Schizosaccharomyces pombe: one gene and its partner. The protein of the gene in region 2 interacts with the protein of the main gene of each other region in a biochemical or structural test. Each region holds a gene or a part of one and is shown on either strand. Other genes may lie near its edges. The genes, in order: plo1 and byr4.

Evidence for each region.
Region 1: of the proteins of byr4 (region 2) and plo1, one has a biochemical effect on the other in vitro, tested with the Schizosaccharomyces pombe proteins (one study listed by BioGRID).

What each region holds. Positions count from the first base shown.
Region 1 is NC_003424.3:2,162,267-2,167,573, reverse strand, and holds plo1 (Polo kinase Plo1), read right to left. Parts: upstream 3,344-5,307; 5' UTR 3,335-3,343; coding exon 1,283-3,334; 3' UTR 809-1,282; downstream 1-808. Other genes in the region: putative potassium ion transporter Mdm28, read right to left, coding at 1-272, 329-368; Clr6 histone deacetylase complex subunit Pst2, read right to left, coding at 3,651-5,307.
Region 2 is NC_003424.3:961,801-966,690, forward strand, and holds byr4 (two-component GAP Byr4), read right to left. Parts: upstream 3,009-4,890; 5' UTR 2,635-3,008; coding exon 637-2,634; 3' UTR 514-636; downstream 1-513. Other genes in the region: poly(A)site selection protein Seb1, read left to right, coding at 1-313; hem13 (coproporphyrinogen III oxidase), read left to right, coding at 4,630-4,890. UniProt on the Schizosaccharomyces pombe protein: Has an essential role in ensuring cytokinesis and septation occur only once during mitosis. It does so by interacting with the ras1 signaling pathways, thereby suppressing them.

The DNA of each region.
Region 1 (5,307 bases), 1.2 Mb from region 2:
CGGTTTTTTAACCACAGTAGTTGGCTTAGTCTCTTCCGCAGCAACCTGTTTCGGGGCTTCCTTAACTTTAGAAGGAGTAGGAGTTTCTGTAGAGTAAAGTCTTGAAGAGCCGATATTATAGAATACTATATCTGATGGACTATATTTATTAAATTTGACAGGAGAGAGTCTTTTATCAATCAAAAAATTTCCTCGCAGACCTGAATAGCTTCTAATAGGTTGGTTCCTGATTGTAATTCCCGTCGCCGGAGCGCCTAACCTCCATTGAAAGCCTACAAAACGTTAGTACAAATTGAAGAGCAATTTGAAAAAGCATTAATATCCTTACCAGTCTGATGTGGGGTTTTAAACAAACGATTCCGAAGCATACTGGGGAATTGGATATGCGTTCTTGGATACTTCATCAATTTGACTCGGCTTGTTTATGAAATAGTAAAGAGATTTAACGCATGCTACGCAAAGCTTCATATTCGTTAAACTAATTAGTGTATTGTCCGTTAGGTAATTTCCTCAATCGCTATTAACATAGCATAGCGTAGGTAGAGAAAGCATTTTATTTACTAATTATGTATTGCTGGAATTAGTTTATAAGTACTTTAAAAGCAAACAGTTCTTTTATCGCATCAGCCTATTTATTATAAAAATGTTCCTGCTATTTGGATTCAACGTGACAGTTGCTAGTAAAAACCAGTACTATTGCTCTTTTGATATACTTAGTGAAGTATAAATTAATGCCTTGTAAACAATAAATAATGCTACTATTAATTAATTTAATTTGGTGTTACAAAGTCTGTGATTCTTAATATGCAGCAGATTGAACTCAACTGTACACATTTTACTGACATAATTAGCAAAACATGTATCTAATCTGTGAAAAGGATTTCAGTTACAGCGAGAGAATAAAAATCAATTAACATAGCTGTGACTAGTCTAACATTTTGGATAACACTTGGAACATTGAGATTTGTGAATCCTTTTGATTAGATAAATAAGTGTCGCCTTAAGACAGAATTTGCAGCGATCAATTTAAAAGCAAAAAATAAAAAATTTTGAAAAGGGATTAAGCTGATATTTGCAGCTATAATTTAAGTTTATAACTTATTCGTCAAGAGCTCCTGCGTTTAAAAGATGTATCTGAGGGAAAGAAATAATAAAAAAAGAATTAGTAAAACATTAACATAAAACTGAATTGAATGGATGAATAGTACAAAAATGAGGATGTGAAATATGGAAAAATAGACAGCATAGTAACTTAACGCCCAAGTATAGATTAACGGTATTATTAACTCACTTCCATTTTCGACGCCCACGATTCCAACGTCTCGCGAATATACTTTAAGCGAGATCTCAAGTCTTCTGAAAATGCGGATGCTTCTTGCAAAGGCAATTCCACTCTCTCTCGCTCTTTATCTAATACAATGATCTTCCGTGCGGTAGAGGAAATAACAACTTTTCGATGATCCAGGAAATTGAACTGAAAAATTCCGTTACTTAATCTAAACATTATAGCTTGACGCGTACGAAGATAATGCTGCATGAAAAGCATGGTATTGGAAGTTGAGTTTTTGGGTTTTTCAAAACTCTCATCCTGCACAGCCTTCGAAAGATTTTGTCCCATATAGCTTTTAAAGTGCTTTAAAAGCTGAAGTTTACTTCTTATAGATTCAGGAACTTTGGAAGCAGGATAAATATATGGCTTAATTTCTGTATCTTTAGGATGTAAAGCATACTCGACAACCTCCTCATCAGCTGAAAAAAGCAAGGATGTATCATCATTAAAGTGTACGCCAACCGATTCATCGGATAGCTGGTATCCTAAACCATATTTGTTGGAATAATCAACCCACTTTGTAATAAAAAGAACGGGCTCAGAGTCAGCATCCTCTGAAGTTAAAGCGTGTGTATGTGCTTCCAATGCCATCCCGATTTTAAGAGCTGTCTTCTTTACGCTGATCCAAATGTCTGATTTCATATTTCCAACCTTAGAAAGTCTTGAAACTGTATTTGCAGATAAAGACCGAATTAATTGAATAGGTTCAACTTGTTCAGTGACAGCGCTCTTAGTTGGAACAAATGATTGTGATTCTTCTCTCAAAACTTTAACTCTTGAGCCTAAACTTCCATCAGTGGATTTACGAGCTGCATGGAGGGCTGTAGAGAGCTTTGATGGTACAGGTTTGGTTTCCGGTCCTATTTTCATAACAGGGTTGACACGGTCCCTTGGACTTAAAACACTTGGTAATATTCGATCATTATCAACTTCATCTGTTCGAAGTGCATAAGGTTTATTCTTTTCTACACCTGCTGAATTTCCAAAGCCTACTCCGGAAGCAGAGGCAACGAAGTCCAGGTTTCTCTGAAAGCTTGATTTTGATTGGGAAGAAGGCCATATAGGCATTGAATGTAAAATTTCATCTGGAAGTGTAGAAGCCATATAGCCAGTGTGAAAGAATTCATGGTCAACAATATCGTCAATACTGGGACGAATGCTTGGATCATGTGTCAGAAGAGAAGAAATTAAATCTTTTGCTTCTGCAGATATGTCGACATTTGAAGGAAAACTATATGAGTTGGCTTTTATCTTCCTATAAATTGTCTTTACCTCTTTATCCTGGAAGGGTGGCTTTCCAATCAAGAGGGCATACATGACTACTCCAGCACTCCAAAGATCAACTTCAAATGAATGTCCTTCTTTTGAATTGAACAAAATTTCAGGTGCGATGTAGTTCGGTGTACCACAGATAGTCATTTTACGTTCTTCGTCATCCATTAAAAGCGCGGCAAGCCCAAAATCACCAATTTTTACATTGTTACTCTCATCAAGCATAATATTTCCAAGCTTTAAATCTCTATGAATGACTCTCTTTTTATGCATATATTTCAAAGCTCCCAAAATTTGCATCATTAAATACCGAACCTCTGGCTCAGTTAATTGTTTTCGCTTACGTAAAAGTTCCATTAAAGATTTATGTTCACAAAGCTCCAAAATTAAGTAAATATTCGTCGAATCTTCAAAACAATCTATAAATCCTACGATGTTTGGATGACTCATGGATTGGTGCACCTTTATTTCTCCAAAGAGCTTCAGCTTTGTTTTATCATTTTGTAGTGACCTTTTAGCAATAACTTTAGCAGCGTAAATATTTCCATAATTATCTTTGACTCGAAAACATCTCGCAAAGCCGCCTTCACCAATGCAATCGTAGCGAGTGTAGAATATATTTTTTTTATTATTATGAAGATTAGTTGGCGGAGTAAAGCAAAGACGAGAGGCTTTGGACTTCTTCTTCGGGGTTATAGCAGTTTTGGGCTCTTTAATTGCAACACTCGCCATTTGGTATTTGTTTCTAACAAAACGCAGGTGGTAACTTTTGAGGGTAAACAAAGTGGTTGCTACGACAACCGCTTGTTTGTAAATAAAAATCTGTGCATTGTAATATTTTATGTAGTAATTACAGAAGTACGGCTTTAGAAAATTTAATACAAAGCTTATGTGCAAAAATTTCAGTAAATTCGTACTATACATAAATCCTTGAAATTATAAAATACCTAGAAAGATAAGTTATGTTAACAAAGTAATATAAAACTATTAAAGTCAAATTGTATTTAAGTAAATATGATCAATAGGTAGGTCGACTGCATTAAAATCATTATGGGATAAATAGTGCATTAATGTCAGCATCAAAATTCACCTCTGCCGTGTTGTCAGAAGTTCCCCTAACCGATTTTAATAACGATTCCCATCGATTTCTCCAACGCTGTTTTCTTTTATTCTGGCAATCAAGGAAGTCGGTATCTCTAAGGCGCAGGTAAGATGCATCTATGTAAGAATCTTCTGTGCGTGGTAAGTAGAGCAATTTAAACGAGTCTAAACATAATTTTGCTTGCAATCCGGAAACCAATTCTGCAGATCTTAATAACTTTGTTTGAAGGCGTGAAACCAATTGCTCAACTGTTCTTTCTTTCTCTATATTTCTGCAAAGAAAGGGACAACGATAATTTTTATAAGATATTTCTTCAGTAAGTTTTTGTATACGATAATTTTGAACATATTTTTTCCAAACTCGTCTCTGTGTATCCAAACTTTGATCCACAATAAGATTCGCTCGCTTCATTATTTTGATTCCAAATGATTTAAATTTGTTTATCCAACAAAATCGAAACAAAATTTCATCAGGATTCAAAAGCTTTTCAATTTCCAAGCGATAAAGAAAGTCATCATAATTCTTCTTAGGCGAAGCAGAACTATTTTGTTCGACTAAACTAGTAACGAATTTGTATTTTCCATCGGAAACGATGTGGTGGACTTGTTTAGCAGCAGACCAAACGAGTTTATCAATAGTATATATTTTATAGGCTTTATTGCCATAATAAAACCGCAGATAGTCCTCGAAGGCACTTTGATCAACTATCCCATATATTAATCGAAGAATCATCACATAAGTATTTTCGTAATGAGTTTTTTCATCAGGGACATCTGAAAGATCATTCCACCTATCGCGCCAAATCTTTTGTTTTTGAGATACTGGGTTTGGTATTATACGCTGTTGGATAATGGACACTTGATCCTCCAAACGCTGAAGCTCATAAAGCCTTTCGTATAATAAGTTAAAAAGTCTAAAAAATACGTACATAGAAGAATATCCAAACTGTTCTTTATCGACGTCGTCATGCATTTCATTCTCCGTATCACCAGCATGATCTTGATGTTCCAAAAGACTATCTGGATGACTTGGATATTTGAGACTGGCTTTAATGGCTGCAGCAGGTTGTGAAAGCTGTTTCTTAGAAACCGGCGTTACGTTTCCAGATTCATCACTTAAAGAGTTTTGAGAGTTAGATTGTGATTTGTTACCGGATTCTTCTTTTTTGCGAGCAGCTGCAGCTGAACGACTTTCGCGTTGACCATTGATTTTAGGTTGTTTTACAAATTCCGTCAACTGGGTTATAGAATTAGATCTTTTCCGACGTACAGGCTTGTTACCAACTATATTCGGGGCATTCACATCGTAATCAGGACCACGAAAAACTTGATCCAGGAATATCGAAAATTTATCCTTTTCAAGACCAAAATGTAAAGGCAATATATTCTTGAAAAAATGCTCAACTTTCTTTAAACCAGAGGGAGAGTTACATACAATGTATGTGCATACCATATAACAAGTATCAAAAAGTACTATTTCGTTGTCATATACAAAAGAAAATTCGAAAGCTGATCTACTTCGCAAAGGAAAATGGAGCTTCGCTTGCGATCGTAGAATGTCGGCTTCTGCTAAGAGAAACTTTGAAGATACATTCTTCTTATCT
Region 2 (4,890 bases):
CCTTCCGATTACTCCTGGTATCGCTTTGGATGAACCTGATATTGAAATTGGATTAGGAATAAGTTCTAAGGCAATTAGTAAAAGAGGAAAAGATTTTGCTATGCGTCGTGATGAGCGATTCCGGGGTCGTAAACCATATAGGGGAGGTCCACCCATTCACCATGGTGAAAGGCATTTTGATTCAGGAAATGACTGGCATGGTAATCCTAGTACCGTTCCTCCCCCTACCAACCCATATAATCCCGGCTATCCATATATGGATCCTAATTACTCTTCTGGGTATGTCTCACAACCTCCTTGGCAACCCCAATAATGTGTTAAAAGACGCTTACAAGTATTATAATGATGGCAAAAATGGTTTCTATATTACAGACGGTATTTAAGGGTATAATGTATTCGGTCCAAATTTAATTGATTATTTTCTTTGTATTGTCTTGTTCAAACAATCTAGTTTGTCTGGGTGTCACATTAGTATTACATTTGTATCATTGTTGTACATCTTATACATCTATTTGCAAACAAAATGAAAAATCTTCGAAGTGTATTAAGCTATGTACAAAAAGATCAAATCTGCGATAAACAAAAGCATTCGTATAATTATATATAAACATTCGCAAGGTAAAGACAAAACCTTGTTTATTGTTCGGCATTAAGTATATTATAAAGCTCCCATAGTCGTGACCTGTCATCGTTTTTAAATGAAAAAAACCAGCCATCAATTCTCTTTCGCCATTGAATATCTTCGCTAAATTGCTTTTTTTCAAACTCTGGGCCGACATCGTATATTTCACTCATATCTGGAAAATTGATTATTGAGTTTATGCTACCATTAAAGCTACCTGAATTTTCGTTCAAGTACTGCGAGGTGGAGTCTGTATCCTCAAGATCATCAAACCCGCTAAAGGGATCTTCCGCTTCTTGACCAGAAATCGAATTATCAATCCATCGTAACCTTGTAGGGTCATATACCATATTTCCGACAACCTGGATTCCTTTTTTTGTAGAAATGTTGGAAATTAATGCTGGACGGCTAGGCGAGATAGGGGTATCAAAATCTCTAATTGCATAATCGTTTCCTTCCCAGCAATGTTTTGTGGGATTATATCGCATTTTTCCAACAATTTTTGGGGTTCTAGGGGAATTTAAATTTTGTATTAAAGTAGGTGCCTTTTTATGGTGTCTGCGTTTTTCTTTGACGCTCAATTGATCATTGGAAAGCGATTCTTTTGTTAACTCTTTAGAAGGGGCGGCATGAGTTTTGTGTTGCCTTTGAGACCGAATATGCTCATTTTTTGCTGAATTAGTTATATTATTTAAATTATTCTCATGTTTCGAAGTAGATCTAGGGGTAGTATGTGAATGCCATTCTTGAGTTGAACCTGCGTGTTTACTTTTAGGCGTTCCGGAAACTTTGGTAGTTTGCTTTTTTCTCAATTTAAGCTCAAATTCATAATCAACTGGTAATTCATCTAAAGTATCAAGTTCTGTACCATCTCCGTAAGTCTTGCAATTTTTAGGCTTTGTTCTGTATTTAGAATTACTTGCAACTGTCTTCAAAGCGTCCAAATCCATCAAACCCATCGAATTTTTCGAATGATAGATCTTCAAATTCGAGGGAGTCCATGTGGAGCTTATAGAAGAATTTCCCTTCACGGGAGAAGAATGTTTACTCGAAGCCTTCAACGTTTCTGGATAATGAGAAGACGTATCCCTTTTCGAAAGTGTTTTCGAAGAATACTTTAGGTTTGGGTTATCAGAATGAGGGTTTTCATTAGCGAGTGAAGGAAATATGTCTTTACAAAGGGGATAATATTTTGCATCCTGATGCACATTAGGTTGATAAGAAATTGTGGAGGAAATATAAGGATGCTTTTGGTTGATGGTATTTGGAGATCGAATCTTTTTCCGAAAGATCGATTCTGTTTCGTTATTAAAGTCAATATCAAAATCATCCCAAAAGCCGTCGTCATTATGCGCAGAGGAAGGCGTACGAAGCGAAGACTGTTCTACGCTGGAAAAGGAAGCTTTTGGATCCATCCTATTTTGTTTTCTGTGCAAAATACTGTTTAGGTCGGTATCTGGGTCTATTTCAAAATCATCTTCAAATGAAGAAAAGCCTTCCGATTCACAATAAGGGGAGTCCGAAACACTGGGATACCGAGCATCATTTTCACTTGAAAGATATGTTTTCTTAAGAGTATCACTAGAGAATGGAATTGGAGGTCTTTGAGAAGCAGTTTCAGATGCTCTAATAGTATTGAATTCATCAACATCGGCATCTTGGTATTTATTGGGACGAAGTGTATTAAACTCATTATTACCTTCTTCACCTTCTTCATCGAACGAAAAATCATCTTCATAGCCTTCTACATTGGAAGAAATTCGGTTCTTGTTGGAAGACAGTTCATGGTTTAAATTATGTACTTGTTGATTCCATTGTTCGACACGAGAATGAGCGCTTGGTACATCAGAAATTGAAAGGCTATTAAGACGACTAATAGAGTCGTCAAACGAGAACCCATCATCCACACTCGTACTAGCACTAGTGGTAGCTATGGATTGAGTAAATAGGCTAGCATTATCGACGTCGGAAGCAAAATCAGGATCATCGTCCCAGCATTCAACTTCAGTCATTCAATCAAAATAAACGTATACTAAAACGGCTTTGCTAAGAAAAGAAATTGGATGCAAAACGCATAGAATGATTACTAACCGTATTCACCCAAAACTGAAAACCCTAAATTTGATTTTCAAAGAAAAAGAAAGTGAGAGAGAAAAAGGATGGTCACTAATTTTGCAAAGAAGTAACCACTGTAAATATTTACGCTTTCAAACCCAGCTTCGAGAAGTAATAAGTTATGAACAGCAATTCAAAAGGACTTCAGGAATATGATTATGATGATGCTTTCAGAGATACAATGAAATTTTGTTTTGTATAGAAAGCAAAAAAAAGAATTTAACTTATTTCAATGACAAAATCAAGGAATCTGGGTTAGCGGTATATTGTTGAAAGAGACGGAGGTTGAGCTAGAGGTATAAGTGTAAACACCAACTTGATCAATTTACGTACTTTGGTTTCAGTACTTTACGAGAAATCAATTTTTAATAAGGTGAAAAATAAAGCATCTACTATTTGCTTGTGTAAACCTAAAAAAAAAATAGTTTTTTTTGGTATCTTTCAGTCATATTTATTTTTGCTAGATTAATCATAGTAAAATACTTAACCATATGTGATTGCCAAAATGCATAGCTGCACCTCACCTTAAAAAAATCTAGGTAATCTAATTAGCATGCAACTACGAGTTAATGTTTTTTAAAAAGTAGATAAATTACAACGAAGGTTAGTAGGTGAAGCAATAAATAGTATGTTTAATCGTCACTCGTATTAGCAAATTCATTCGTCTTAGAATTTTATTTTCCTCCACGAAAATATATATATTTTTCTTTGAACGTTTAAATTATTATAAACAATTGCTTTCTCTGAAATTTATGCCCATTTACAATTTAATTCTGTTTATGGAATCTACATATTCGTTCAAGTATATATGAAATACATTTTAAGGAATCTTTTTTTATTAGATTCTTCGTATAATTTCTAAAATACATACTATTTTCATATACGAGTTTAGATAAATTACAAAAAAAAAAAAAAAAAAAAACGATTAAACTATAGGTTAAAAAGTAAATCTATTAGTTTATAACAAAAGAAACGTCTTTGTTTTATTTTAGTTTATTTTTTTACATCTAAAAAGTTATTGAAATCAACAATGGTAAAGTTGAACAAATTAACTCTTCAATTCATAGGTATGAGAAACCGTTCTTCATTAGTAAATCCAAGTATGAAACATAATCATGTTTTTACCCCTATGCGATCGCGCTATTCATATTTTTCCTAAATTATTTTTAGCATCAATTCTGTCTATAGTTTCATATAATTTCAGTGATTTAATCATGTAATTATTCATGTAAAGTTCATAAAAAATATAGGTTGATGATCTTATTAATGTTTGTACTTAAGAAATGGTAAATCGAACAAGTTGAAAAAGTAAGCATGGCATCTGTCTTATACTCTTGTGCTTTTCTGTAAACCAAGCAGTTAAAAACATTATTGCTTGCTAGTAGCGAAGCAACTTACAAACATTTCTCATAGACGAGAAGTAACTCCATTTTTCAGATAGTCTAATAATAAGTCAAAGAAAAGGATGTTTAACATCATCCTAATCAAATTCATATAAAACTAATAATTGTTTTCCATCGAAGGAATCTATATATCGCACTACAAGGTGCAGTAACGAAACACTCAGATCGTGGAATCCGGATTGTGTTCTTAACCTTACGAGAAAAACGAGCCATTACGGTCGTGACTGTCCAGAAATCGTTCGATTTTTAAATATCTGAATTTAGTCTATTTTTTGATATAAATCCCCCTAATCCCATTCGCTGCTGGCACAGTGTTTTTGTGAAAACAAAACAACCAAGTTGTAAATTTAATTCGCAAGTTGAACAGTGTTTTGATTCTTCACTTGTGTTAATACCAATTCATCCAATCGGTTGTATCATATCTTAAATACCATTTTGGTTACTTTTTTTTTTGGACATTTTGAGCAAATCCGTAAAGTAAATAAAAAGATGTCTGACATTACCGTTGAGCCTATTGGCAAGCAGATGGAGAAGCTTATTCTCGATGTTCAGCAAGAAATTGTTGCTGGTCTCGAAGCTGTCGATGGACAAAAATTCTTCCAAGACAAGTGGACCAAGGGAGAAGGTGGTTATGGTATCAGTTGTGTTATTCAAGATGGCAACGTTTTTGAAAAGGGTGGTGTCAACACAAGTATTGTTCAAGGAAAATTGAATCAAGACGCTGTCCAAAGAATGCGTGCTAATCATGAA